Linked DNA regions of Oryctolagus cuniculus. The main gene of each other region encodes a partner of the protein of the gene in region 4 in a complex. Links are inferred from orthologs where the notes say so. Each region holds a gene or a part of one and is shown on either strand. Other genes may lie near its edges. The genes, in order: MAPKAP1, SOS1, GRB14, HRAS, RASA1, RASGRP4 and PLCE1.

Region 1 (4,190 bases), about 230 Mb from region 4:
TGGGGAGTGAACCAGTAGATAGAAGACTTCTCTATCTCTCTGCCTCTCCTCTCTGAGTAACTCTGACTTTCAAATAAATAAATAAATCTTAAAAAAGATATTTGAGACCAGAACTATATAGGATTTTAATTTTTTCAGGTTTTGAAGTATTTCCATAGGCTTAATCCAAAATTCCAAAATTCCAAATACTCCAAAAACTGAAGCTTTTTGATAGTCATGTAGTGCTCAAAGTTTCTGCTCTTGGGGGTGGGTGTTTGGCTCGGTGGCTGGGACCCACTTGAGAAGCCCACATGTCAAGGCGCCTGGGGTCCCTACCCATTTCCAGCTCCTGACTCCCAGCTTCCTGCTGATGCAATCAGGACACAAGGGACTGGGTTCCTGCCATCCATGTGGGAGACCTTCACTGAGCTCCTGGCTCCTGATTTTTGCCCTGGCCCAGCCCCAGCCATTGCAGAAATTCGGAGAGTGGACCAGTGATTGGGAACTGTGTGTCCTTTTGCCTCTCAAAAAAAAAGAAATTAAAAAAGAAAATTTCAGATTTTAGATTTTTGGATCAGGGATGCTCAACCTACACCAGGCCCTTTATCCACAGTAGCTCACTACATATTCCGAACACCTGTGAGGTCAGTAGCATCCCTCATCCCTACGCCTAGTTGAGGAAAATGATGCCTAGGGTTAAGAAACTTGCCAAAGGTCACTTATCTAGTCAGAAGAGAGACCAGGAACTGAACACAGAGCCCATGCTAATTCTCTAGACTATCTTCTTTGCCCATATTCAAAGTTGAGGTGATCAGCTACTACCAACTTGCCTTGGAAGGCTGTGATACATTCAAATGATTCTTAGTACCATGCACTTTAATATTCATATTTTTTCCTTTGTATAGTTTCAGGATGTTCTTGATTAGATAGCTATGGGATGAGAAAGACGGCAAGCCAAGTAATGGAAAAGTACAGATTTAAGCATCAGAGAGATCTGGGTTTGACCATGGCTGTCTTGTATCAGTTACATCATTTATCCTAAGTCTTCCTAATCTATAAATTGAGGTTAAAATGATAAAACAAGAAAAACTGATATATAACATGCAATACATAAATACTGAATAAAGTATGCATTACAAAGCATCCCCTGGCCATATCCCACCCCTCAAAAGTGAACGACCAGTCCCCCTTCTGTACAAATGTATCACAAAAAGAACTCTGTACTGATCACTGTGTTGGAATTATAATTTCCTTATCTGTCTCACTAAGCTGAGCTCCCTGCAGGCCAGAACCCAGTCTGATGTATCTGCACACTGCTTAACACTGCCCCTGGCACACACCCATACTCAGTAACTGTTTGCCAAATGAAATAACTGTAAATACAACAATGAGTGCTTACAGGAGTCTAGAGAAATCATTTCTAGTTGGGGTTGTCCCAAACTGGGTGAGGGAGGCCAACTTCAGCTAGGCCAAGGGGCGTTTCTCGAGAGGACCACAGAAAAGGGGAAACCTTCTCACGCCCTGCCAAAGACAAAGGGCGACGTGAGAGCCTAGAGCAACGGATCCGAGTGGGGGCCTCTGCCCCGAGCCAGGTCGGGGGGCGCACAGGCACGAGTGTGGTCTGGCCCACAGTGGGAGGGAGAGGGGCTACCAGCACACGCCACAGGCCCAGAGAGCTCGCACGTGGGTACGCTGGAGAGGATGAAAACCATTATCACTTCATCAAGGGCGCCCCCGGCACCACGGGAGCACCCGGCGTGGGCTCTCAGCACCCGAGACTACAGCAGGGTGCCTCGTTAGCTGTCCTGGTGGGTTTTAACGCTGAAGATCCACCCCCGCCTGCCTGTCCAAACAGCACGAGAAGTCCGGCTTTTTCTAGCGGTGTACCGCCACTGGGTCACACCCGAGAAGTTTTCAACTTTGCTGACTTGGGTTTACAACAACATGATGCTTTCCACGGTGCCACTTCGGTGGGCTTCAAACAGCACTTGCGTTCATTCAGAATGCAGTTTTATCCGATTTCTGAGTCAATTTGGGGAAGGGGTGTCTCTGGTTAAAATACTACCCTTGTGTACACAATTTTTTTCTCCAACCTTAAACAGATCCAGAAGACTCCCACAAATAAAAAAAAAAAAAAAAAAAAAAAACCTGACCCAAAGTTGCAGCAGCACTCCAGCTAACAAAAACTCAGCGGGGCTGTTCATCCGTGCAGGGGGACGAGACAGGACCACGCACGCAACACCTGAAGAACTCGATGTTCACACTGTGAAGAGCGGGGCACCTACAGAAACCGCAGGAGCCACCTGCGCCCGCGCCCCCACCCCACACGACGGGGTCCACACCCGGACGTCAGGCTCACGGCAGCCTCCGCTCCTGGAAGGGGCCAGGGAACGGCTGCCGCTGACCACCGGAGCAGGGGCCTGACGGGCGGCCCGCTGGGCAGGCAGCGCCGGGGATCCGAGCCGCCAGGCCCCGTGAGAGGCCGAGCGGGCCGGCCGGCGGGCAGGCGGGCGGGCAAGGGAGCTAGCGGCTGGGGCAACCTTTACCTGAAGCTGCTTCCACACTACGGGCCGGGCTGGCCTTGGGAAACGTTCCTGAGAGGAGGGCCCGGCTCCCCCACGCCTCCCGGCCCCTGCCCCGACTCTGCACTCTCGGGATCCTCGGGGACCGGTGCTCCTCCCGGCCCTCTCAGCTGCCGTCGCCCGGACTAGCCCTCATGTCCCGGCTGCTCGCCGCCGCCGACCGGCCGAGCAGCAGCCCTGTTACCCCGAGCCGCGCCACGACCCGGAACCGCACCCCCGCGCACCGGAAGTCCCCGACCAGGAAGGCGCCTCTGGCTGGGGAACGCAGTGCGCAAGCTCGAGAGTCGAGAGCCACTTCCCGGGGGGCGGGGGGCCGTGCGCATGCGCGTTCTTCTCCGGGGTCGGTAGAGGCCTGGGTCCGAGCCTGGGAATCCCGGCGAGGTTCGCTCGCGCCCGGCTTTCCTGGGACGGAAATCGACGTCAGCGATCCCCGTGGAGCCCTCGTTCTTGCCACTTGCAAAGAGAAGAGCCCCCAGTTCATCCAGAAATGAGGAACGAGGCAGCCTAGCGCGTGTATCCGAAAGCCCTGGGTTCGAATGCCGCTGCTGACTTGCAGTGTACCCCTGGACACTGCAGCTGCCCCCTCGGAGCCTCGGCTTTCCCGTCCGTAGCAGCAGTTCCGGGATGACGGGATGGCTGTGAGAATCAAACGGGGTGAGGGGTGAGGGGCCGCACAGTGGCTGACGGCACGCACCCGCAGGAGGTGCCGCGACCTCCCTCATTGTGTGTAGTGCCCAGACGCGGGTCCGCGGCGAGGACGGCAGGGAGGCGCACGGGGTGCTGGGTGCTGGCACCGCACGGTCGGTGCGGGCGCGCCCTGCACCTGCCCTCCGTGGTTCCGGCGGGGACCTGTCGGGGGCGCTCTGGCCGGGTGGACAGAAAGGTTGGGTAGGTTCCCCCACTTCCCCCCAAACCTTTCTCTCGTTTTCTCTGCTTTCCTGGGCTCCAGTCTGAAACCCAGCTGCCTGAGCGTCCCTCCCACGGCCAAGACCTGTGTGAAATCGAAATCGACTGGACCTGCGGGTCGCTCATGGAGTCTAAAGACTGAACACTCTCTCCACTTAGGAGTTTTGTAGCTTCGTCTCTCCAAGCTACCTCTTTAAATTTCCTTATCTGTAGAATGGAAATCAAAAGTAACAGAGCCAGACCTTGTGCAACAGTAGGTTAAGCTGCAGCCTGCAATGCCAGTTCTCATATCAGGGTACTGGTTCATGTCCCGGCTGGTCCACTTCCCATCCAGCTTCCTGTTAATGCTCCTGGGAAAGCAGCACAGGATGGGCCAAGTACATGGACCCCTGCACCCACTTGGGATCCTGATGGAGTACCTGGCTCCTGGCTTTGGCCTGGCCCAGCCCCAACCATCATGGTCATTTGGAGAATGAACCAACGGATGGAAGATCTCTTTCTGTACTACCTATCTCTGTCACTCTAACTTTCAAATAAATACAATAGATCTTTTAAAAAAAAGACTGAAACAAAAAAGTCATAACCGTTGTGAGGACTGAATGAGCTAATACGTAGAACTCCATAGAATGCAGCCAAGCAGGTGGCTAATACTGAGTACTTACCACTGTTACTACACCTGTCAATAAGCAGGTACTTATGGGTGCCCAGCCTAGGCACTGGAGA
Region 2 (4,077 bases), on a different chromosome or scaffold from region 4:
CTGGCCTGAAATGTATTCTAAGAGCAACGAAGAGCCAAGGAATAGTTGGCAGCAGACCACCAGTGTAGGCTCACTCCTTTAGAACCACACAAAGCCTTTTCACCTATATCAGCCCTGTAGGTAGTGGAAGGGGTCTAACACGTTCTCCACTGAGACGCCCCCAACTCGACTCCAAACAATGTAGGTTCTCCTCTTCCAGAGGACTGACTGACGGGTTTCAAAATGTCACTGAACACTTCTGAAAGTGTAAATCAGGCATGCCCATTTTTAAAAGGAAAAAGCCCAAGACTTGATTCAGATTCTCAGAGAAGTTCTGTAAAGATTAAGATGCACCGCTTAAACATTTCTCAGCTTTGGGATCCTGGCTATTGTTCCATGGACCAGCAGGACACAAATGCCAGCTCAACCCAGGCTAGTCCTCTGCACTGTCTTCTCTGTGAAATGAAAACATGATTGCTGTGAGGGCTCAGGGAGCGATACTTTAGTGTTTAATGAAAACCACGAGGTGTCTACCCAACAGTGGTATTGGAAACCAACATCTGCAGCCCTGGAACCGAGGGACAAATTTATACACTGCACCTTTAGCATTCCACAAGCATTCCCTGGAGAAAAAGATCTGCCTTGCAGGCGTTCACGATCTAACCAAAATGCCGGGGAAGATAGAAAACGCAAAACAGACCAAGTGAGGTTCTCTGGAACCTGGGAACCGCGTATGATGTCCCACTTTCCAGGGCAGGGAAGCACTGACTGGAGTTGGTTGTCTGATGTGGGTTTGCGCAGGCTGAACCTGAACACCCATTCTACCCTTGCTGTGGAAAGGCCGGCTGGAAACATCGCAGTCGCTTCTGCCACCTGACAAATACTGAGCAGAGGGAAACCTATCTTTGTGCAGTCTGTTTACTATACGTTGCACGCTCCGAGCAGCCCTTATCCTCATGGTCGGGAACAAAGTACACACACAGACCCAGACACACACACACACCCCTTTCCGAAACCAAGGCCCGGGGACTCCAAGAGAGGGGTGGGATCCCTCGCGGCGCGGCCACACAATGGGGGCCGTCTCAGCACAGCTCGCCTCCCACCCCCACCCGCAGGCCCCATTCGGCCAGGGTTCGACTTCTCGGGCCCCACCGCCCCTCCCCTGCAGCCCCCGGGAGCGCAGCCACAGCCGGGCCCGGCGCCCTCCCTCGCCCTCCCTCCTTCACCGGGAGCCGGAAAACCCGGAGGGAACCGGCCCAGCCCGGCGGCGCATGCTCAGTAGCGCGCAGGTTCAGTTCGCTAGTAGGAAGCTCCAGCGCTGCACCGGCGGCGGCGGCGGCGGCGGCGGCCGCGGTGCAACCCGGCGGCCGGAACCCCAGCGGCGACTTCGGGCCCTTCCTCGCCCCCGAGCTCCCTCCCGCTCTAAGACTCTAGCGTGTCGAAGTCCTCGCTGGGCGAGCGGGCGCCGCGGCAGGAGCGCCCCTCCACACGCCCTCCCCCTGCCGCCAGCTCCTCGGCCGGGCAGGCCGGGCCCGGAGCGGAGCGTAGCCCCGGCAGCGGGCGGGCGGGCGGCGGCCGCGGCGGAGGGCAGCTCGGGGCGGCGCCGGCGGGCCGGGGAGGGGCGGGGGGCCTGGCCCCAGGGCGGTGGTGCGGCCGGGATGCCGCCGCCGCCGCCGCCACCTCCGGGCCGTGTTCGCTCTCCGCGGCTGGTGCCGGTGTCGGGCGGGTGGCCGCGCGCGGGCCTCGTCCCGCAGCCGCCTCTCCGGGGCTAGCCCGGCCGTGCGGCGCCCCGAGGGGGCCGGGCCGTCCGGAGGGGCCGCGGCCCTGTTCCGCGCTGCGAGCTCGCCCTCTCGCGGCTTCCCGGCCGGGCCGTCGCCGCCGCCCCTCTCCCCGCCCAGAGGCGCCCCGGGGGCACCATGCAGGCGCAGCAGCTGCCGTACGAGTTTTTCAGCGAGGAGAACGCGCCCAAGTGGCGGGGGCTGCTGGTGCCTGCGCTGAAGAAGGTGAGGAGCGCGGGGAACCCCGCTGCCCGGCCGCAGCCCCCGAGGCGGGCGCCGGGTCGGAGCCCGGCCGGGGAGGCGGGGCGCGCGCGGGCAGGGCCGCCTTTCTTCCCGGTCCCTCCGCAGCCGGCGGGCGCTCGGCGGGGACGTGCCCCGGTGTGTGGGAAGGCAGGCCGCGGGGAGAGGGTCGGAGACAGCAGTCGGGGGAGCCCCGGGGTTCAGCGGAGGTCAGCGCAGGCCACCCCTCCTCCTGGCCGGTCTCTTTGCCGAGCTGCTGTCAGCCTCCCGGTTGAAGTGTCCGGGACGCTCCTTTCACTGGCCCGATAACGCTCTGGCCATCATGTTTGCTGCGAGCTTGCCTGCCGGCGGCAGCATGGCCTGCTTTGCTCCCTCTGCGTTCTCCTGGGCACCCCCTCCGATTAACGAGGAGCTGCTACACATGCCAGTATTTTCAGACTTATTATTTTTTGACGGTTGAAAATCTTGGTGATGTCATTTGGGTTAGAATTTTTAACCTCTGTTTTGTATGTTTACGTTGGCCACATTGTTATCTAAAGTTATATAGGAAATGTTGCTACATTTTGTTTGTAAAGCAACGTTGTGACAAACACTGCACGTTAAAAACATCAGAAACTGGTGTGTGAGTTTAAAAACAACTGGACTGTTTTCGTTTCCTTTTCTTCATTTCTTCCTTTTCTGGTGGGGTGGCTTTATGCTTTCAACTGTGTGTCTAAATCCCAGTTTCTTGTTGCCCAAAGAATGTTTCATGAGATCTGGTTAAAATACAGCTTTGCTCCTCCTGAGGGCTGGGGTTATGGTTAGTCTTTCATGGTAAACATTTCCACTTGAACACAGTGTCTTAAAAGGTGTCTGAGTTTATCCAAGGCCAGAAGCTTTTACTTTCTTTTTTTGCCCTGGTCTCCCCCTCCCCCTTTTGCAGTCTTACAGTGGAACCTACTTAGTTAGCAAAATCTGCTCATATATTAAGGATTGAACTACCAACTTTTCCCCCTCAAATGTTTGGCTAGTCATTAACATCTCTTTGGTGTTTTCTAATAAAGTGTGTTTTGTGTGTGTGTGTGTGTGTGTGTTATCGGTATACTTCATTCATTAGAACTCCTACCAGGTTCTCCATCTGTTTAGTTGTGCTTTGCCTGCAAGTGTGTCTTCTTGTGATAGAAGGGGAGTAGGAGGTCACAGTGGTGCTAGAAGCTGGTGTTCCATCAGGGTAGAGGAAAATAAAACAGTTGTCTGAAAACATACCCAAAAAGCCTCATGAAGCATTACTCACTTGGGGTCATTTTGCTTAGAAGCTTACAGGTCCCATCCCAGGGGAACCACCGGTCTGTGGGTTGAGGATCCTTGGAAGTAGTGCAAAGAATGGCATTAGAATTGGCAGACTCACTGTCTGCCACGTGGGGGGCCCTGCTGGGATCTGTCCTCAGAAGAGTTTTGTTTGGCTGGCACAGTGTTGTTTATTGTTAAGTGTTTACACATGGGAGATATTACACAAAATCTGAATTCACAGCTTTTGTTGAAGAAAAATCTCTCCACTCAGGTCCCACGTGAAAAGCCAGCCAGTGACCTGCTGCGGGTGCATGGATAGCTGCCGTCTTTAGACAGGTGCACATTGGCGTTTACAAAGTCCTCAGCAGTCCCCTTTGCTTGTTTACATAAAACAATGCTTAGGTGTTTATTGACTTGAAAGTTTGGGCAGTGGAGAGAGAGGGAGAGTGAGAGAGAACACCTTGCTCTCCTCTGCTGGCTAACTTTCCCAGTGCTCATAATGGCGAGGACTGAAGCTGGGAGTTGGGAGCTCCAGGTTTCCCATGTGGGTGACAGGAACCCGATTACTTGAGCCGTCACAACTGCCTCTTGGAGTCCATATTAGCAAAAGCTGGAATCAGAAGCCAGGGCCTGATATTGAACCCAAACTCTGGCTTAGCAGCTAGGCCAAACGCCCACCTCTACACAAAGGGGCTTTTGACTCTAACAGAGTTGCCCTTGGAATAGAAATGATGGGAGGAGGTAGAAGTGTACAGTCTGACTGATAAATGTATCTTCCAATTCTTATCCAACTGTCTACCAGCAGGGAGTC
Region 3 (2,811 bases), on a different chromosome or scaffold from region 4:
ACTAATTACTGATGCCAGCATATTTTTATATTGATTTTTGGGAGCAAACAGTCTGACAAATGGGCTGTATGTTTGTCCTATTGAAACTGTATCAGCACCCAAGCCAGTATTAAAGTATAAGATTATATTATGCATTATACCATATCATTTACCAACTTGGGTAATCTTACCCATTGCACCCACAATTAAGGATCCCCAACTATAATTTATGAATATGCTTTCTGGATGTGTTATACACTATAATTCTGTGAAACCCATGAGTAAATGTAAAAACATATTGAAATTCCTTCTCTCTTTTTAGAGTTTTCTTGGTACGGGATAGTCAGAGTAACCCCAAAACTTTTGTACTATCAATGAGTCATGGACAAAAAATAAAGCACTTTCAAATTATACCAGTAAGTAATTTGTGATTTCACATTTGTATATTAGAGATGATCTTAATGCATAAGCTTTTGGAAACTTTAGTTTTCTTTTGTTCCTTTTTATTAAATATAATTTGGAAGCTTGTGCTTTGACTAAAGTTAAGTTTGGCAGAAATGGTTTTATGAGCCTGAATTAATATAAGAAATACAGGAATTGTAAAAATTAAATTTTCTTTTTTCCATGAAATATGATTTAGCAATATTGTATAGACCCCATGCCACCTATTGTTAAAAGGCCACTAAAGATACGTTCTCCTGAATTCTACTAATGGTTCTTTAGAAAACATTATTTTAAAGCTCTTTCTCTTCCATTTTCTCAAAATTGATTTTTCATTGTTTTGTTTTTAATCATTATGGATAAAAACACAGGTGCTATGAAACTGGTGAACATTGAAACTATTCTGAGCACATTTTAAAATGTTCTGTAATTCTGCTTCTGGTGCCACAGTTTGCTGTGGGATTTTGTTGCTTTTGCCGCTGCTGCTGCCACTGTTGTGTGTGTGTGTGTGTGTGTGTGCGTGTGCGTGTATGTATGTGAAGTGCATATTGGAACCAGGTAATATGGAAGATTCAGTCTACTTTCATGATAGGGTTTCTTAAGATTACTAAATTGTTCATGCATCCTTTTGAATTGCTTTTTTTTTTTTGTGCTTATCGAAAGGGTGTAAAAATATCCTCCTTACTTCATTGAGTATGTGGTCAATGTCCCCAGCAAGTGTGAGTTGTTTAATGCCAGATGACTTCACTGCCAAAAAGAAGACAATTGACATTCCATTAATGTAATATTTGATTGTGTCAGAATCAATTTGCTGATGGAAATTATGTGAATATTCATTTTAAATACACTAAGTGAGGCTGTTAAGTAGACCACACTTAGAAATGGAAATTAATTTTTGTAAGTGGAAGCATTAAAATCTTCTGTTTACTTTTACACTGGGTACTACGGCTTTCTCAACGCTCATTGACTCAAAATAGTCATACTACCCAAACTACACAGAATGTTGGCATAATTACAGGTCAGTAAAGTGGAATCACACTGCTTTAAATGAGGAACAGATTATATTTCTTTTAAATGCAATTGATGTTACCTAAAAGAACTGGACATGCCACAGTATTCTTTTCACTATCATTCAGTTATATGAACTTATCAATTTTGGCATGGTAGGGCATGGAGAAAAATTGTGCAATGACATAGGATTGTTCTGGGTAATTTGACCAAATCTTGACCAGTTTGTTGATTTTCCTCCTGCAGATTGAAGATGATGGTGCAATGTTCCATACACTGGATGATGGCCACACAAGATTTACAGATCTAATTCAACTGGTGGAGTTCTATCAACTCAATAAGGGTGTTCTTCCTTGCAAGTTGAAGCATTATTGTGCTAGGATGGCTCTTTAACCAAATCAGAAGTGACTTGTGAAACTATTGAAGGAAAAAGAACTCAAGAAGAAAATTAAGAGAGAGACCATAAATAAGGGTGAAAATGTTAACCATGGGGAAAAGAATGTATTTCATCTCAAGTTACAAGAAAGAGTTATACATTGCAAATAAGCAAAGACTTGGATTGACATTATATTCATCATTTAAAGTTCATTAGTTAAAAATTAAACTTTAGGAAAAAATTGGCTTGATGTGTTCTTGTGTTATTTTACATTACTATACTTTTTTCAAATATGCATACAGATGTACATCAATCTTTCCTTCTCTACTATATAATATTATAACTTTAAAATACAAACTAGGAAACAATAATGGGATTAAAAATGAATTATTTACAGACTGAGCTTTAATTATACTGTTTTTTATTATTAAGAACAGTGAGAAAAACTTGAGTTATCAATTAAAAGGAGCTATCCACAACTTGTTAATAAAACTAAACTACTTCAAATTATGTATCTTCTGATTTATTATAATCTTCAAATAGCATATTTTTACATAGTGTATTAAAATTATTTTGAGATATATAGAGTTGTTATGGATAAATTTATTACATTATTGAATTACTATACTATGAAATCTATACTGGTATTCTGCCTACTGGAACATAGGTTTAGCATGTAATCTATGACAGCACAACATTGTCATCTTGGATAGCTCATATTTGCCCCATATTCTGACTTTCAGAACACTTTAGACAGTCAGTAACAGAACATTAACCCAATCAAAACAGGTGAAATGAAATATTCAAAATCTAGAAAGATCCTCATAGATAACTCCTTGTTTTCTTATTGCCTAGCTGCTTTTCAGTTTCTTACTATGGCAGCTCCAATATGGAAGCCACACATTTTGAAAGCTTTAACAGTCATTTCCTTCTTACTTCTGTGAGATCAGCTGGGAAATTTTGAGGTTGTGATGACTGTTTCCATTGTATTGTGGTGAGGGTATTCA
Region 4 (4,018 bases):
GGGCCGGGCGGGGGCGTGGGGCACGTGTGGGGCCGGGCAAGGGCATGGGGCCGGGCGGGGGCGTGGGGCCGGGCGGGGGCGTGGGGCACGTGTGGGGCCGGGCAAGGGCGTGGGGCCGGGCGGGGGCGTGGGGCACGTGTGGGGCCGGGCAAGGGCATGGGGCCGGGCGGGGGCGTGGGGCCGGGCGGGGGCGTGGGGCCGTGCAGGGGCGTGGGGCCGGGCGGGGGCGTGGGGCCGGGCGGGGGCGTGGGGCCGGGCAGGGGCGTGGGGCACACGGGGGCGTGGGGCCGGGCAGGGGCGTGGGGCCGGGCGGGGGCGTGGGGCCGGGCGGGGGCGTGGGGCCGGGCAAGGGCGTGGGGCCGGGCGGGGGCGTGGGGCCGGGCGGGAACCCACGGGCCGGCGGCCCCGGCTCACCTGCTCAGGACAGCACACACTTGCAGCTCAGACAGCCGCGGCCGCTCTCGTCGGGCGGGTTCAGCTTCCGCAGCTTATGCTGCCGGATCTCCCGCACCAGCGTGTAGAACGCGTCCTCCACGCCCTGGAAGGGAGGAGCGGGCTCAGGGCGCGGCCACCGGGGGACCCGCTGTTTCCCGCCGAGGGCTCAGGCTGAACCCTTGCCCCTCCCTGCTCGTCGGCAGCTTCCCGGGCCGCCCCCGTGGGCAGGCTCACCTCCCCACCCCAACTCTGCGCCCGGCTGGTGAGCTACAGGGCTCAGAACCCACAGGAACCCGTGGGACACTGGGGACAGAGGGGCAGGGGCCCAGGGTCACCGCTCCAGCCTGGCTCAGGGCAGCTCTCTCTAGGGACCCCCCCTCCCCTGGGGCTGCGTCAGCCCAGGACTGCAGGGCGTGAGCCCAGACCCCGGCCCTCGCCTCCCTCACTGCCCTGCCGTCCGGGGAGACTTACAGCGCGAGGGGCCGCTGGGTCACATGGGTCCCGGGGGGTCCCAGAGGGTCCCGGAGCTGGAGCCAGAGCCAGAGCGGCTGCCCTGCGTCGAGGGAGAGGGGCTGTGAGCACTGCTCCCTGGCGGGGGCGGGGTGGGGCCGGGGCGTCCCTGGGCGGCTGGGGGCGGGGCCGGGCTCACCTGCCGCGTCTTGGCCGAGGTCTCGATATAGGGGACGCCGTAGCTGCGGGCCAGGTCCTGCGCCTGCCGGGACTCCACGGTGCGCGCCGCCAGGTCGCACTTGTTCCCCACCAGCACCATGGGCACGTCGTCCGAGTCTTTCACCCGCTTGATCTGCTCCCTGGGAGCGGCAGGCGTGAGCCGGGGCGCGCACTGCCGGCCTGGCCAGCGCCCCCGTGCGCGCCCCGCGGCGCTCACCTGTACTGGTGGATGTCCTCGAAGGACTTGGTGTTGTTGATGGCGAACACGCAGAGGAAGCCCTCGCCCGTGCGCATGTACTGGTCCCGCATGGCGCTGTACTCCTCCTGGCCCGCCGTGTCCAGGATGTCCAGCAGGCACGTCTCCCCGTCGATGACCACCTGCTTCCGGTACGAGTCCTGCGGGAGGCGGCGTCTCAGGGACCGCGTGGCGGCAGGCTACCGGCGCTGGCCGCCCAGGGGAGGGGTCGCCGGGCTCACCTCGATGGTGGGGTCATATTCGTCCACGAAGTGGTTCTGGATCAGCTGGATGGTCAGTGCGCTCTTGCCTACACCGCCGGCGCCCACCACCACCAGCTTATACTCCGTCATCGCGCGCTGCTCGCGGGCTGCCCGGCGCTGTGGGGTCTCCTGCCCCGCCTGCCAAGGAGGGCCACGCTCAGCCAGGCCCGCAGCTCCGACGGCCAGGACGGCGGCCCAGCTGCCCACCTGGGCCAGCCGCCATCCAGGGGGCGGGAGGGGTGCCGCCTCCCCACCCCGCCGCACCAGCGACAGCGTGAGCAAGGCAGGGCGCCTACCCCCAAAGGCAGGGCTGACAGCTGAGAGCTTCTCCCAACCACGCACCCAAATTAGAAGCTGCTGTGTAGGCAGAACGCACAACCCGCAGGGCCTGAGGGCTGAGGTTAGCCTCCCAGAACAGGTCCTGCCGCGGCCGGCCGGGCCACAGCCTGCCCAGGCAGGCCAGCGTCAGCCAGCCGCCGGGCCCGGGGGTGCGTCCGAACAGCATTACCGAGCGCGCACCGCATGCAGGTGCCGCCGCGGCCCGAGGGACAGGGGGCCTGGGGCGCAATCCCCGCCCTCTGGGGTCCCCAGGATGTCGGCTCCCCGGGGTGTCCACCGGCCCCAAAGTCCTCGGAGAAACGCGCAGGGGTTCCGGCAAACAGGGGCTCAGCCCTAGCGCAGGGGCAGCGCAGGGGAGGCCCGGACCCCGAGCCGGCGCGCCCCGGGTCGCGGCGTGCAGGGCGGGGCGCCCTGGCGGCCCTGAGGGCCACGGTGGCCGCGGCGCTGGGCCTCTCCGAGCCCTGGGCAGCGCGGGGAGGAGACGGCGCCCGGCGCCATGGCGCAGGCGGGGCCTGGTCCCGGGGGCCCGCAGCCACAGGGACGCCAGGAAGGGGCCGCGGACGCCGCCCCCCGCCCCGCCGCCGCCCCCGGCCCGCACGCGCGCCCGCCCCGCGCCGCCGCCAGCAGGGCCGGGAGGGGGCGCCGGGCCCCCGCCCCCGCCCCGCCCGCACTCACCGCTCACGGGCGCGACTGCCCCCGGGGCCGGGGCCGGGGCGGGGGCGGGGGCGGGCGCGGGGTCCAAGCGCGCGGCTCGCCCCGCGCATGGGCTCCGTCCGCGCCGGGTGCGGCTCAGGCTGCGGGCGCCGGCAGCGGGCGACGGACACTCGACCGCGGCCGCGCCTGCCCCGCCCCCGCGCCCGTCCGTCAGCCCGGCGCAGCCTATCATTGGACGCGCTCGGCCGAGCCACACCCCACGCGGTTGGCTGAGCGGCCCGTCCGTCAGGAAGCGCGACCGGGCGGGGCTTCCGGGAGTGGCTCGCAGGGCGGTGCCCGGCAGGCCTCGGCCGAGCCGGGGCCCCGCACCGAGTTCTGCGGGTGCCGAGGGAACGCGTGGCGGGCTGGAGGGGCGGGCACGGCAGCGGGGCCGGCGCTGGGGAAGGCCAGAGGTCCGCCTTCCGGCCCGAAGTTCCCATCAGACCGAGCCCAAAAGTTGCTGCACGCACGAAGGGCAGAGACCCGCACTCCCCTGGAGGAAGCGGGAGGCGGGGAACGGGGCGTGCGGCTCTGCGCCGGGCGTCCCCTCTGGCCGTGGCGGGGGTCTCAGGACGGGCTTCCCGCGCGGGAGCCGCGGCAGGTGCAGCACGGTCCCGGGTACCCCCGCCCTGCAGCCGTCGCTAGGGGGCGTGGCCGCGCGCCGCGTGAGAGGCTCGCGCCTCATGAATATTCTGGTATGCAGATGAGGCCCCGCCCGGTTGCCATGGCTCCCGGGCCGCAGCCCCGCGGCCGGAAGAACTGGCGGAGTCGGAGAGCGCCGCGGCCGCGGGCACCCAGGGCCGAGCCCCGGGCTGGGCACCCCGGCGCCCCGCAGGTGAGGGGAAGCCCGGGCCGAGGTGGACTCAGCAGAGCCTCTGGGGCCCAGCGACAGCCTCAGAGGTCAAAAGGTGTCCCCGCGGAGGCCACGCCCGCGCCTCGGGACTTGCTGGGGCTGGCTCCAGGGTGGGGTCACTCCAGGGTGGGGTCATGGGAAGGGAGCCAGGTGTGCCCTGGGTACTGGGCCGTGAAGGGAGGAGCCAGGGCCGTCGCCAGCCTCGGGCCTTGGGGGCGTGGCAGAGGAGCAGTGTCCAGGAGTGGGGGCTTGGGCCTAGCTGCCTCCAACCCCTGGACTTTGAACCCCTTGGGGCCTGGCTGAGGCAGGACCCTCGGCCACCCATGGGCGTCCAGGGCCAGCCCGTCTCCCTGGCCATGATGAGGTGGCAGTTGGGCATGGTGGGGATTAGCTGGGAGGCCTAGGGCCGGGCACCAGCTGCAGGAGGGCAGGCAGCAGGGAAAGTCCACGGGGCTCCCCAGGGGACCTGCGCGTTCCTGGGTCCTCAGCATGTGGGTCACTATCCAGACCGGACCCCTGAGGCTCTCTCCC
Region 5 (4,246 bases), on a different chromosome or scaffold from region 4:
ATACTATATTGCCTCCAGTAACTCTAGATTGACATCTAAGATTAAAAAAAAAAAGGAAATTTGCACTTCTAAGTAGTATATTTTAAAAGCATACTTAGACATGGAGGGTACTTTTAGAACATCAACAACTGTCATATACACAGACGTACAAGTTTTATTCTTACTCCTAAATACAAAAAAATGATGAAAATCTCACTGAACAGACTTCTCACAAATCCATATTTTCCTAAGTACACACTCATCTTTATTATTAAAAATTTAACAAGAACACTCTGCTTTCCACTCAATTCTGCTGTAAGCTAAAATTGCTCTAGATAACAATCTATTAAAAAATTTTTTGAACTACAATATCCTAAATAGGCCTAAATCAATTCAGTTATGAACTGGTATAAGACTAGATTCTTTTAATATGAAAAATTACAGTTTATTAAAACCTTAGCAATAAGTACTTAATATTAAGTGTGCACATAATATTTACCTGTCATTTTTTCCAAAAAAGACTCGAAGGTGTGCAAGTAGCACTAAAAAACCAATTTTTAACATTCCCAAGAAATCTGCAAGACACACACATGAAATAACTTGGAATAAAATCAAACAAAAAAATTAATGTGTCAGTAATACAGCATCTTTTCCTAATTTTCCTAATTACTTTTTTCTTAAGATTCATTTTGAAAATCAGAATTGCGGGGGGGGGGGGGACACAGAGCTAGAGAATCTTCCATCCAATGGTTCACTCCCCATATCCCATATGGCCACAAGGGCCAGGCAGAAGCCAGGAGCCAAGAGCCTCCTCCAGGTCTCCGATGTAGGTGCAGGGACCCAAGGACTTGGGCCATTCTCCACTGCTTTCCCAGGTTATTAGCAGGGACCTGGATTGGAAGTGAAGCACCTGGGTTTCCAACCAGGCTCATGTGAAATGCTGTTGCTGCAGGTGGCAGCTTTACCTGTTACACCACAGCTGCAAGCCCTCCTCATCACTTTTTAAAGTCTTTCTAAATCCTCCAAAGTATTAAAAACAAAACAAAACAAAACAAAAAACACCTTTGGCTTGTCCAGAGTGACCATCCATCCACATACCAACCAAATGTTTTTTTCCTGATGCTCACCAAGGCTGCTGAAATCCTAAACATCATTTAAGACTGATGTGACAGATCACGTTTTGCCTACTAGTGTCCCTTCCTGTTCCAACATTTAAGTTATATTTAAAAAGTCATGCCCTGCATATTCTAAATGTCAAAATTAATTTCAAATAGAAGACCGTATTGGCCACCAACAAAAATTCTGAAGCGAAGCGCCGTTAAAATCTGTTTCGCATGAAGACTGTACTTCGAGCGTCTGAACTACAAAAGCATTACAGGTCCATCAACCAAGTCAGTCTACGAAACACGTTACCAGCTCAGAACCTGAGTCCTTCATCACACGCCTAACTCTCACAACTCTTCTTTCTCCCGGACCCACGTTCGCCTAAGGGATCAACACTTCGCTGCATCACTCTGCCTTCGTAGACAGAAGTTGGAGAAGTCGGTGCCACAAAAGCAAAGCATTCTGGTCAATGGATTGTTTTCTCTCCACGCTATCCCTACACACTAACTCATCAGGGCGCACACACACACAAGTCCATGTACACTGCGACTGCCTTGGCTCCGGGCAGGCTTGGCGAATCCTGGGGCACCCATTTGCAGGGCACACAACCATATCCGGTTCTCACTGGACACACACTTTTCCCATGCGTCCCATCTTAAAAACTACATCTTCCCAGAGGAGCCATGAACACACAAAGACGCCCCGGGAGCCCGCCTGTCGGGAAGAGGAGCGCTCCAGTTAAATCCCTACGCGCGACACCCGCAGCTCCACCAACTCTGCACAACAAATCACAGCCGCCAGAGAACAAGGTGCGTCTTCCCCCAAGCCCGCAACCGCACAGCCCACTTACTGGTTAGTCGGCGGCGCCGTCAGCGGGATGGCCACCTCTTCCTCCTCGTACTCTGGTCCATCCAGGGAGTCCCCTTCGTCCACCGTGCCCAGACCCGCACCCAGCGGGGGCAGCAGAGGCGGCGGCGGCGGCGGCAGAGGCGGGAAGCCGCCGCCCGGCCCGAGGGTCTCGGCCGGCAGCAAGGGGGTCCCCTTGGGGAGGGCCATGTCCCCACTAGGTCCAGCAGCGCCTCCCCCTGTCAGTCCCGCGCCCCCCAGGGCCCCCGCCACGGACCCGGCCCCCAGGAACCCCGACCCCACAGCGGCCCCGCCACCCAGCGCCCCGGCCTCCACCAGCCCGGGGCAGGGGGCGGCGGCCGCGGGGAGCTTCACGCGACACACCACCGGGTAGGCGGCACCGGAGCCCGCGGCCGCGCCGCCGCCGCCGCCGCCGCCTCCGGCTCCGGCAGCCACCGGGCCGCCCTCCTCACTGCCGGCCTCGGCGGCCATCATGTTGAAGCCCGCTGCGCTCAGCCTGCGCGGCCCGCCCGGGAGCCCCGGGGGCCAGCAGGCCCGGGCTCCGAGCCGCCCCACCCAGGCGCGTCCCCCCTTCAGCTCCCCAGGCGGAGGAAACAACAACAAAAGGAGAGAGCCCGCCGCCGCCGCCGCCGCCGCCGCCGCCGCGCCCCCTCCCCGGGCCACAGCCCAGACTCGCGGAGCCGCCTGCGTTACGGAGCGCCAAGTGGGCAAAAAAAGCCCAGCGCCGGCACAAACGCCGCCCCGGGCTCGCCTCGCACACCCACACTCACGCGCACACACATGCACGGACGCGGAAAACTTCCTGCGCTCGGGAGGAAGGGAAGCCCGGGGGAAGCGGCCGAGGCGGCCGCCGCTCCCTCAGCCGCCGCCGCTCGCTCACCACCCGAGTTCCGGCCACCCCCACCGCAGCCGCCGCCGCCGGGGCCGCTGCCTGGGACGCAGCCCCGGCAGCCGCTGCATCCTCCACCAGCCCGGCGCGGGGAGGGGTGGGCAGGGGAGGCGGGAGGGGCGGGGTGGCGAGGAAACCGCGGCGCTGCTCGCTACCTGCAGCGCTCGGGTAGTGAAACCCGAGACAGACCGGGAGGGAGAGAGAGAGAGAGAGAGAAAGGAGGGCGGGGCCGGGGAGGAGCGGCGGGGAGAGGAAGGGCGGCGGAGGCGGAGGGCGGCTTCTGCGCAGGCGCGGCCGCGCGGGGCGGGCGGGGCGGGAAGCGGCCCGCGAGGGGCGGAGGCGGCGCGGCGGCCTGGCCCGGCCGCGCGCGCGCGCGCGTGTGTGTGCGTGTGTGTGTGTCTGTGTGTGTGTGTGGCAGGCTGACATGAAACCCCGGGAGGCGAGAGGAGCTGGAAGAGCATGGAGCGGAAGGAAGAGCCCACCGGAGCCACTGCCGCGCTCGCTGACGGTGACGAAAAGCGGCGGCGCGGAGGCCCGACGGGGCGGGCGGGCGCGCGGCGAAGGTCAGCGCAGCGCGGGTGTGGGGCGCAGTGACCGCACGGCGACTGCCGCACTGGCAGGTCAGCTCCAAGGCGGCAGTCCCGGAACTCGGGAAAGCGCCGCGGGTGCCGGGAGCCGTGCGGGCAGGCGGTCGTGGTGTGGAGCGCGGTGTCCGCCGCCCCGTGCCGGCGCCCGTCCAGGTGGACGGTGAGGAGGTGTGAGAAGTGCCGGAGCCCGGGGCGGAGCGCCTGCACAAGCCCCTTGTCCAGGGTGTTCAACAGTAATAGCCTGGACCTCACCCTTAAAGCGCACAAGGAGGGGTTTTGTGTTCTCTTTAAAAGTATCCCTGGGGAACTGGTCCCAGGGCCTCCACCACGGGATACCAGGCTCTCAGGATGCTCGAATCCCTTTTTTTTTTTTTTTTTTTTTTTAATAAAGTGGTGTAGCGTTTGCACATAAGCACACCCTCCATGTACACCAACTCCTCTCTGGATTCCTTGCAATAACTAACACAGTGTAAATGCATGTAAATAGCCGTTATACTGTATTGTTTTGGAAATAACAAGAATCAAAATGACATTTTTGGTACAGATGCATGCTTGTAAAATGTTTCCCAGAGTTAGTTAATTCCTCAGATGTGAAGGGCCGACTAGATGCATTCACAGACACGCAGGAATTATTCCCATTGTTTGAAACCAATGGGTTGGCAGCTTGCCTTTTTCGATTCAAAAATTGTTCTGAGTTGGGGTGGATCTCAACACTGAATATCGTTGGATATTGTTCTTTCAGGTCACTATTTTCTCGGCTAAGGATGATCTAACTGACAAAGCAGCATACTGGGGAAGGCAAGGAGCTGTAATAGAAATC
Region 6 (4,103 bases), on a different chromosome or scaffold from region 4:
GACTTGCTGTTAGTCACTTCATTTCTCTTGGTCTGTTTCCTCAAATGAAAACTAAAGCCATCTTTAGACCTTCTCGAGGAATTAAAAAAACAACAACAACTATTATTTAAAAAATTACATTGTGGTATGACAGGTTAAGCCTCTGCCTGTGACACCAGCATCCTATATGGGTGTGGGTTTGAGCCCCAGCTGCTCCACTTCTGAGCCAGCTCCCTGCTAATGCACCTGGGAAAGCAGCCAAAGATGATCCAAGTGCTTGGGCCCCTGCATCCTCATGGGAGACCTCAAAGAAGCTCCTGGTTCTTGGCTCTGGCCTGGTCCAGCCCTGACTCTTTAGGCCCTTTGGGGAGTGAACCAGTGGGTGAAAGATTTCTCTGTCTCTCTCTCCCCCTCTTCCTCTCTCTGCAACTCTGCCTTTCAAATAAATAAAAAACAAAATCTGTAAAAATTATATAATTAATTTGAGCGAGAGAGAGAGCGAGAGAAAGAGATCTTCCATTTGCTGGTTCACTCCCCAAATGCTTGCAACATCTGGATCTGGGGCCAGGCCAAAGCCAGGCGCCCAGAGCTCAATCCAGGCCTCCCACGTGGGTGGCAGGAACCCAAGCACTTGGGCCATCATTGGAGCTTCCCAGAGTGCACATCAGCAGGAAGCTGGAAGCGGAAGCAGAGCCGGGACTCAAAGTCAGGCGTCCTCTGTAGGATGTCGGTATCCCATGCAGCAGCTTAACTGTTGCACTGAACACTGTCCCTGCCCCTGAATTTATTGTAAGCATTCCATGCCTAGCTCCTCGAAAGGGCTCAGTAATGGACTTATGTGGGGAAATTAGGCACAGGAGGCAATTCAAAGATGGCGCCCAAGGGAAGTAAGGTGAGCAGTATCCAAAGTTGTCGACCACCAAAGCTGATTGCCTGCCCAGCATCAGGGGAGGTGATGACAACTGATGAGTGTACAGACATATGGCTGGTCCTGTAAAAAGTCGCCCCATAAAATGACCTTTTAAGTAATTGGTTGGTCCTTATGCCCTGCCCCAGAAATCCTGTGGTCTTGTGCTTTAAAAGGCTTTGCGCCAGTGCCGCAGCTCACTAGGCTAATCTTCCGCCTTGTGGCGCCGGCATACCGGGTTCAAGTCCTGGTCGGGGCGCCGGATTCTGTCCCGGTTGCCCCTCTTCCAGGCCAGCTCTCTGCCGTGTCCAGGGAGTGCAGTGGAGGGTGGCCCAAGTCCTTGGGCCCTGCACCCCATGGGAGACCAGGAGAAGTACCTGGTTCCTGCCATCGGTTCAGCGCGGTGCGCTGGCCACAGTGCGCCGGCCGCGGCGGCCATTGGAGGGTGAACCAACGGCAAAGGAAGACCTTTCTCTCTGTCTCTCTCACTGTCCACTCTGCCTGTCAAAAAATTAAAAAATAAATAAATAAAATAAAAGGCTTTGCTACGCGCTTGACTCCCCACTGCGTCTGACTGTCCCCGGGATCGGCGGGCTGGGGAACGGGCGAGCGGCGCACTTACCTTTCTTCGGACCCAGTCCATCCTCGTTTGGGTGGACTAAGACCCTGCAGACTTATTCTGCCTAGGCTGTTAAGTGATCAGAGGTGGGAAATTTGAACTTGAGGTACAGAGAGAGTGCCGGGGGCAGAGAAGAAGCCAGGCTTGTGGCTCGGTGGGTGGAATTGGAAACAGGGAGACCATGGACAAGGGCACTGCCATGTCCCTGGCACGTTCTAGACGCAGTAAATCAGAGTGAAACAATAGTGGGCGTTTATGATCCCTGAGTAGGCACCAGGCCCACAGCTGAGCCCTCGTCCAGATCAGTGAGTCTCCAAGCAGGGTCCCCGACAAGTACCAACAGCATCTCCCAGGGACTTGATAGAAACACAGATTTGCTGGCACCACTCCAACCTACAGAATCAACAGCGTTAGGGGTGAGCCTGGCAGCCCGCACTTCCCAAGCCCTCCAAGAGGCTCTGATGAATGGTCAAGTTTGAGAACCTGTCGGGTTCGCTGATGGTCTCTGAGTCTTCCATTGACAGAGATGATGAAAGAGGCACAGGGAAGCTGAGTGACTTGCCTAAGGTCACACAGCCGGAAATGAGTCAGCCAGGATTCCTGCAGAGTTCTGAGGGGAGGGAACCCCTTTGCCCATCGGAATCAGGCTGGGGGACACTGGAGGAGCTACTCTGTCTGGGGGACCCAGTCACCATCTGCCTCTGTGGGGACAGGAGGGCAAGCTAGCCTAGGAGATAGAAGTCCATTCCAGAACCTGCCAGCATAACCAGCCGTGGGGCCCTGACCCACGCCTGGCAGCCCTCTGCAGTGTCGGGAGCAGCCGAGTGCCCCGCCCTGCCGCACATGCCCCTCTCCTCGGGGCAGGGTCCTGCAGGAGCCCGGAGTTTCCCATCCAAGGGGCAGCAACTGCGATGGGGAGCAGGAGGACCCCAGGGAGGACAGAGCCACCCAGTGGAGGGAATAGGGTGCAGGTGGGGAGAGCGAGGAGGGAGGAGGGCACACAGGTGCTCCAGCTCCAGGGCGGGTGAGGACGGGGCACAGAGCACTTGGGTGCAAGCCGCCCTGGCCCCGGCTGCCTTCGGGGTGCTCCCATCATCTTGCCCCAGCAGCCTTCCTACCTCCTGGTCAGTGTCTCAGCAGGGCTTAGGGGCTCTCTGGGGAGGGTCCTCTCACCTCTTGCTGTCTTTCCTGTTCATGCTTCCTGGAGGGGCGCTCTTGCCAGGGTAGCTTGGCGCCAGCTCCTCAGTCCCAGGGGAGCAGGCCTCCTGTGTGCTCGGGAAGAAAAGAGGAACTTCCCCTCCTCACCACCCTGGGCAGGGGGAAGGAAGAGGCTGGGGAGAGACCAGGGGAGGATCCCCTCCCCCCGGGGATCCCTTCAGCCTGAGGTTTCCGGTGCTGCTGGCCCCCCACCCCCAGCCACCCAGCCCGGGCTCTATCTCCCCCATCTTTCTGACTTGAGACCCGTCACTGTCACGCTTTGATAGTGGCAGGGCCCCCCCCCCTTTTTTTTTTGGTAAAGTGTGACTAATATTTATATAAAACACACTCAAAAGAAAAGTCTCTGTTTCTATAAGAACATATTCATGTGTATAACACCCAAAGGGTGGAATGGAAACTCATCAAGCTATTTTGTGTGCTTCTTTGATGGATGGGTTACTTTTAATGACACCATTTGTAGCCTGGAAAACACTACACTTAAATTTTTTAGAATTTTTATTTATTTGAAAGGCAGAACAACAAATAGAGAGATCTTCCATTTGCTGGTTTATTCCCTTAATACCTGCAACAGCCAGGGCTGAGCCAGGGCAAAGCCAGGAGCCAGGAGCTCCATCCAGGCCTCTTTTGGGTGTGGCAGGAGCTCTAGCATTTGGGCCATCATCTGCTGCCTCCCAGGTGCCTCCGCAGGGAGCTGGATTGAAACGTGTGGGATGCTAGCCCTGCAGGTGGCAGCCAGCCCACTGTGCCACAATGCTGGCCCCTTTTTTTTCCCACTTCATTCCTTTTATTGCAACAAACTTTTATTTAGCAATTATTGTGTACCATATCCTGCCCTGAGGGCTTAAAACATTTTCACTCATTTAATCCTCACCCAGATCAGTTATCTAATTACAGAAACATTACAGGGGGAGGCAAACTCTCGAGCCCCTCCCAGCCACCCCCTCTCCCATGCAGGGCTGACCAGTGTTAATGCTGTTGGATGCCATCGAAACTGCCGAAATGTGTTTACGTGCATAAACGTGTGCTCATAGAAACAGACTGTTCTTTTGAGTATGCATTTTTTTTACCTAAGTGTGTCATACTTGACATATTTTTTAACTGAAGGACAAAAAAAAAGAGCAAAAATCACTCAATATTTGTGTTGATCAGTTGTTACCAAGTGAGTGAACCCTTTTTTTTTTTTTAAGATTTATTTATTTATTTGACAGAGTTACACACAGAGAGGAGAGAGAGAGAGAGAGAGAGAGAGAGAGAGAGAAGTCTTCCATCCTATGGTTCACTCCCCAGTTGGCCACAATGGCAGAGCTGCACCGATCCGAAGCCAGGAGCCAGGAGCTTCTTCCGGGTCTCCCATGTGGGTGCAGGGGCCCAAGGACTTGG
Region 7 (3,500 bases), on a different chromosome or scaffold from region 4:
TGCGACGTATTTATTGTTTTTTTCTATACTTCTTTTTTTTTTTTAATTTTTTTGACAGGCAGAGTGGACAGTGAGAGAGACAGAGAGAAAGGTCTTCCTTTTGCTGTTGGTTCACCCTCCAATGGCTGCCGCTGCCGGCGCACCACGCTGATCCGATGGCAGGAGCCAGGTGCTTCTCCTGGTCTCCCATGGGGTGCAGGGCCCAAGCACTTGGGCCATCCTCCACTGCACTCCCTGGCCACAGCAGAGAGCTGGCCTGGAAGAGGGGCAACCGGGACAAAATCCGGTGCCCCGACCGGGACTAGAACCTGATGTGCCGGCACCGCAAGGTGGAGGATTAGCCTAGTGAGCTGTGGTGCCGGCCTCTATACTTCTTTTCAAAACTCTCACCTGTGACAGAAATAAGAAATAAAAGGGGCTTTTTTTTTTTAAGATTTATTTTATTTATTTGAAAGAGTTACAGAGAGAGGTAGAGATAGAGAAGTCTTCCATCCACTGGTTCACTCCCCAGATGGCTGCAATGGCCGGAGCTGTGCCGATCCAAAGCCAGGAGCCAGGAGCTTCTTCCGGTTCTCCCACCTGGGTACAGGGGCCCAAGGACTTGGGCCATCTTCTACTGCTATCCCAGGCCACAGCAGAGAGCTGGATTGGAAGACGAGCAGCCGGGACTAGAAATCGGCACCCATATGGGATGCTGGTACCTCAGGCCAGGGCTTTAACCTACTGTGCCACACCACCGGCCCCAAAAGGGGCTTTTTAAATGCTAAATATATGTATTCTTACTTATTGTATAATTAACATGTGTCCCAGGCAATGTCTGACTCAGTGACTAAGGAATCATTACCTAATTCCTTCTTATTCTTGCACAGGCAACATAATTAGTCTGGATTTTCTACCTCTTTTGTTATTTAACAAGTGGTTATTAGCCCCTATAATGCTGTCTCAGTTCCTGGAGCGGGGAAGAGAGTTGGGGAAAAGATCAGAGCTCTGTCCCTCAGTGCAGCTTATATTCCAGTGCTGAGACTGACAAGAAACAAGGATACGATATAATTGCAGGTGCTAGTGGGTTCTGAAAAGAACCAGGCAGAGGCTGGAGTCGTGGAGGAGGGCTGAGAGGAGTAAGCAAAGGCCACTCGGAGGAGCTGGCATCGGAGCTGGGCCCTGTTTAGTCCAAATGTCATGGAAAGGTCTGAGGAAAGCGCATCCCAGGCAGGGGGCAGCAGCTCCGAGGCTGGGCAGGCGCAGGCTGGGGAGCCACGGCAGAGCTAATGTCCTGGGGTCTGAGGAAGCCAGGTGGACTTGGTTCCACACAGGTGTGCCGGGACCCAGCCAGCCTGTGGTGGAGAGGTCGCCTTCAGTCCATGAGAAAGGAGAAGCCGTTGGGGTTTTCCGAGCGGGAGAGTCACATGATTTATGTTTCTAAGAGGTCACTCTGGCCCCACTGGAGAATAAACTGTGCTGGGGAAGGAGTGGGAGTCAGAGATCATTTAGGAGGTGGTGGTGGTGGCGGTTAGACCAGAGAGGGGCGGGGACGAGAGGCGGCGGGAGCGTCCCCTGTGGCTGGGTCACTTGCCGCAGAGGTACTCTTGGGCCTGATGGGGGACCAGTGGACGTGCTTTCCAACACTGGATTTGATCACCAGCCTTGCAACAATTGAGAGAACCAGCACAGTGCTGGGTGCTCCCTGTAGCGTCCCCGAGTGCTGGCACAGTCCTAAGTGCTCCCTGTCTCTGGGAGCTGCTATTATTATCCCCATTTTCACCTGGATAAACTGATTCCCTTTGTTTTCATATAAATCAGCCTTATTCTTTTCTCTTGCTCCTTTTTTTTCCTCTTAAATAAATAGGCTCAGTATAATAAACTCACATATAATAAATGTTTTCTTTTGGACTAAAAACTACATCTTACCATTACATTACTAAATTAGTTCAAATATTTGGTTTAGATGTTTCCTGATGAAAACAGAACAGCTTTAAAAAATGATGTGGTTTTTTTCCCCCCTCATGGTTTCCTTTACCTAAATTATACTTTTTTTTTTCTATCCCTTGCAGAAGTTCGAGCCTAGCATCAGTATGTGTCACCAAGGTCTAATGTCATTTGAAGGATTTGCGAGGTAATTTTGAAAATGTCTCTTGATCATCATTTAAAAGCATGTGTTTTTCCCACGTAGCTTAAGAACATTTGTTTCATCTAGGTTTCTGATGGATAAAGAGAATTTTGCCTCGAAAAATGATGAGTCACAGGAGAACATTAAAGAATTGCAGCTACCCCTGTCCTACTATTACATTGAGTCTTCACACAATACCTACCTCACAGGCCATCAGCTGAAAGGGGAGTCCTCAGTAGAACTCTACAGCCAGGTACCAAGAATGTCACTTGGAACATGGTTTTCATTAAGTTTCATTATTTACATAGCTGGCAAAGTCACAAAACCTGACCCCAGACTGCTTTGAAGGGTTTATATGTGACATGTGAGAAGCCATGATGTGTGGGAAAACTAGCTATACATCCAGCACTTGTTTTCTTTCTGCTTTTTGTTTGGTTTGGTTTCCTCCCCCATCTATACTTAACCTTTATTCTGGCGAAAAAAAAAAAAAAAAGGATTTGTTGGAGACTCATAGCTTTTAGATCCTAGTTAATCTGACCTACTTCTACTAAAATTAGATTTTCTCATGGGAAAATTATCTAATCGTTTCACAAAATGCTAAATAAATCAATACATTGTAGTGGGAAAGCATAGTAGAAAATGAAACTTTCTACAAAGATAATACCAAAATATAGTTTGTTTTGCTTTGCAATTTGTTAGACAATCAGTCCATCTCTATGGTAACCACCTTGAGAAAAAAGTCTGCACAGACTGTAGGCACTGTCCCTCGGCACTCAGATCCATGGGAATGTTCTTTGAAAGTCAGCAGGTTCTCTGGGCTGGGAAAAGCACATCCTTTTGACCTAAACGGCCAACTTTGAACAGTCTGCTGTCTGTTGCTGCTCTATTGTGTTGTCTGCAGCTTCCTCAGCTATGCTGCCTGTTTCCAGAACTCCTACAAGAAGGATTAATGAGGAAGGAGCTAGGCCAGGTCCACAGAGTGTATCAATGGGCCGTTATGTGCGTATGGGTCCAAGGTTGAAAATTATGGTTGTGTTGCTTACACAACTCTAGTAGCAATGAGATTTCTTTGTTCTCCAAATTTGTCCAGATAGTCCTCAAAGCATGGGACAAATTTTTGTCCCAAAGCTTATTTTACGTGGAATATATATTTTACATTTTTTAAAAAAAAGGCTTGTTTATTTATTTATTTGAAAGGCAGAGTTACAGAGAGGCAGAGGCAGAGATACAGAAAAGTCTTCCATCTGCTGGTTCACTCCCCAAATGACTGCAACAGCTGGAGCTGAGCCGATCCGAAGCTAGGAGCCAGGAGCTTCTTCCAGGTCTCCCGTGGGGTGCAGGGGCCTAAGGATTTGGGCCATCTTCTGGTTTCCCAGGCCTGAGCAGGGAGCTG

Evidence for each region.
Region 1: the proteins of HRAS (region 4) and MAPKAP1 are in contact, whole or in part, in a crystal structure (PDB 7VV8), measured with the Homo sapiens proteins. The link is inferred for Oryctolagus cuniculus from reciprocal best matches to the Homo sapiens genes HRAS and MAPKAP1. Residues at the interface, in NP_001123914.1 of Homo sapiens: Gln25, Asp33, Ile36, Glu37, Asp38, Ser39, Tyr40, Arg41, Leu56, Glu63, Tyr64, Met67; in NP_001006618.1 of Homo sapiens: Glu277, Ser278, Phe280, Ala286, His287, Gly288, Phe289, Ser290, Leu291, Ile292, Gln293, Arg311, Arg312, Lys313.
Region 2: the proteins of HRAS (region 4) and SOS1 are in contact, whole or in part, in a crystal structure (PDB 4NYM), measured with the Homo sapiens proteins. The link is inferred for Oryctolagus cuniculus from reciprocal best matches to the Homo sapiens genes HRAS and SOS1. Residues at the interface, in NP_001123914.1 of Homo sapiens: Gly13, Gly15, Ser17, Ala18, Thr20, Ile21, Gln25, Asp30, Glu31, Tyr32, Asp33, Pro34, Thr35, Glu37, Tyr40, Arg41, Asp54, Ile55, Leu56, Asp57, Thr58, Ala59, Gly60, Gln61, Glu63, Tyr64, Ser65, Ala66, Met67, Arg68; in NP_005624.2 of Homo sapiens: Glu589, Lys602, Trp809, Thr810, Lys814, Leu822, Met824, Ile825, Arg826, Thr828, Thr829, Thr832, Glu836, Asn869, Leu872, Val875, Ser876, Asn879, Ser880, Ser881, Tyr884, Ser908, Asp910, His911, Tyr912, Lys913, Leu916, Phe929, Phe930, Gly931.
Region 3: the proteins of HRAS (region 4) and GRB14 are in contact, whole or in part, in a crystal structure (PDB 4K81), measured with the Homo sapiens proteins. The link is inferred for Oryctolagus cuniculus from reciprocal best matches to the Homo sapiens genes HRAS and GRB14. Residues at the interface, in NP_001123914.1 of Homo sapiens: Glu31, Asp33, Pro34, Ile36, Glu37, Asp38, Ser39, Tyr40, Arg41, Tyr64, Met67; in NP_004481.2 of Homo sapiens: Val109, Lys111, Asp116, Glu117, Thr118, Ser119, Arg120, Ala121, Leu122, Asp123, Lys140, His142.
Region 5: the proteins of HRAS (region 4) and RASA1 are in contact, whole or in part, in a crystal structure (PDB 8BOS), measured with the Homo sapiens proteins. The link is inferred for Oryctolagus cuniculus from reciprocal best matches to the Homo sapiens genes HRAS and RASA1. Residues at the interface, in NP_001123914.1 of Homo sapiens: Gly12, Gly13, Ser17, Ile21, Gln25, Asp30, Glu31, Tyr32, Asp33, Pro34, Thr35, Ile36, Glu37, Asp38, Ser39, Tyr40, Arg41, Gln61, Glu62, Glu63, Tyr64, Ala66, Met67, Lys88, Lys117; in NP_002881.1 of Homo sapiens: Gly746, Arg749, Glu783, Thr785, Thr786, Arg789, Ala790, Thr791, Glu799, Lys803, Ser833, Arg894, Gly898, Phe901, Leu902, Arg903, Cys906, Pro907, Leu910, Asn911, Met914, Arg928, Ile931, Ala934, Lys935, Gln938, Asn939, Asn942, Val944, Ala948.
Region 6: the proteins of HRAS (region 4) and RASGRP4 are in contact, whole or in part, in a crystal structure (PDB 6AXG), measured with the Homo sapiens proteins. The link is inferred for Oryctolagus cuniculus from reciprocal best matches to the Homo sapiens genes HRAS and RASGRP4. Residues at the interface, in NP_001123914.1 of Homo sapiens: Glu3, Gly12, Gly13, Gly15, Ser17, Ala18, Ile21, Asp33, Pro34, Thr35, Ile36, Glu37, Tyr40, Arg41, Asp54, Leu56, Asp57, Ala59, Gly60, Gln61, Glu63, Tyr64, Ser65, Ala66, Met67, Arg68, Asp69, Gln70, Arg73, Thr74; in NP_733749.1 of Homo sapiens: Tyr228, Gly232, Val234, Val244, Asn248, Ser251, Asn288, Met291, Ala292, Gly295, Gly296, Cys298, His299, Ser300, Leu327, Ala328, Ser329, His330, Asn331, Asn332, Tyr333, Ala334, Arg337, Leu351, Gly352, Val353, Leu355, Lys356, Val359, Ser360.
Region 7: the proteins of HRAS (region 4) and PLCE1 are in contact, whole or in part, in a crystal structure (PDB 2C5L), measured with the Homo sapiens proteins. The link is inferred for Oryctolagus cuniculus from reciprocal best matches to the Homo sapiens genes HRAS and PLCE1. Residues at the interface, in NP_001123914.1 of Homo sapiens: Ile24, Gln25, His27, Val29, Glu31, Asp33, Ile36, Glu37, Asp38, Ser39, Tyr40, Arg41, Glu63, Tyr64; in NP_057425.3 of Homo sapiens: Phe2138, Pro2146, Glu2147, Gln2148, Pro2149, Arg2150, Thr2151, Val2152, Ile2153, Lys2154, Lys2171, Tyr2174, Ser2175.

The regions. Positions count from the first base shown.
Region 1 is NC_091432.1:229,457,203-229,461,392, forward strand, and holds the start of MAPKAP1 (target of rapamycin complex 2 subunit MAPKAP1), read right to left. Parts: upstream 2,801-4,190; 5' UTR 2,526-2,800; intron 1-2,525. UniProt on the Homo sapiens protein: Component of the mechanistic target of rapamycin complex 2 (mTORC2), which transduces signals from growth factors to pathways involved in proliferation, cytoskeletal organization, lipogenesis and anabolic output.
Region 2 is NC_091433.1:163,753,292-163,757,368, forward strand, and holds the start of SOS1 (son of sevenless homolog 1), read left to right. Parts: upstream 1-1,277; 5' UTR 1,278-1,895; coding exon 1,896-1,982; intron 1,983-4,077.
Region 3 is NC_091434.1:77,009,177-77,011,987, forward strand, and holds the end of GRB14 (growth factor receptor-bound protein 14), read left to right. Parts: intron 1-301; coding exon 302-395; intron 396-1,674; coding exon 1,675-1,821; 3' UTR 1,822-2,311; downstream 2,312-2,811. UniProt on the Homo sapiens protein: Adapter protein which modulates coupling of cell surface receptor kinases with specific signaling pathways. Binds to, and suppresses signals from, the activated insulin receptor (INSR). Potent inhibitor of insulin-stimulated MAPK3 phosphorylation.
Region 4 is NC_091432.1:197,007-201,024, forward strand, and holds the start of HRAS (GTPase HRas), read right to left. Parts: upstream 2,801-4,018; 5' UTR 2,617-2,800; intron 1,741-2,616; 5' UTR 1,693-1,740; coding exon 1,582-1,692; intron 1,501-1,581; coding exon 1,322-1,500; intron 1,245-1,321; coding exon 1,085-1,244; intron 989-1,084; exon of another isoform or gene 907-988; intron 539-906; coding exon 419-538; 3' UTR 415-418; intron 1-414. UniProt on the Homo sapiens protein: Involved in the activation of Ras protein signal transduction. Ras proteins bind GDP/GTP and possess intrinsic GTPase activity.
Region 5 is NC_091445.1:10,198,604-10,202,849, reverse strand, and holds the start of RASA1 (ras GTPase-activating protein 1), read right to left. Parts: upstream 2,801-4,246; 5' UTR 2,425-2,800; coding exon 1,934-2,424; intron 1-1,933. UniProt on the Homo sapiens protein: Inhibitory regulator of the Ras-cyclic AMP pathway. Stimulates the GTPase of normal but not oncogenic Ras p21; this stimulation may be further increased in the presence of NCK1.
Region 6 is NC_091449.1:16,194,609-16,198,711, reverse strand, and holds the start of RASGRP4 (RAS guanyl-releasing protein 4), read right to left. Parts: upstream 2,801-4,103; 5' UTR 2,702-2,800; coding exon 2,679-2,701; intron 1-2,678.
Region 7 is NC_091446.1:36,441,033-36,444,532, reverse strand, and holds part of PLCE1 (1-phosphatidylinositol 4,5-bisphosphate phosphodiesterase epsilon-1), read left to right. Parts: intron 1-2,051; coding exon 2,052-2,113; intron 2,114-2,194; coding exon 2,195-2,360; intron 2,361-3,500. UniProt on the Homo sapiens protein: The production of the second messenger molecules diacylglycerol (DAG) and inositol 1,4,5-trisphosphate (IP3) is mediated by activated phosphatidylinositol-specific phospholipase C enzymes.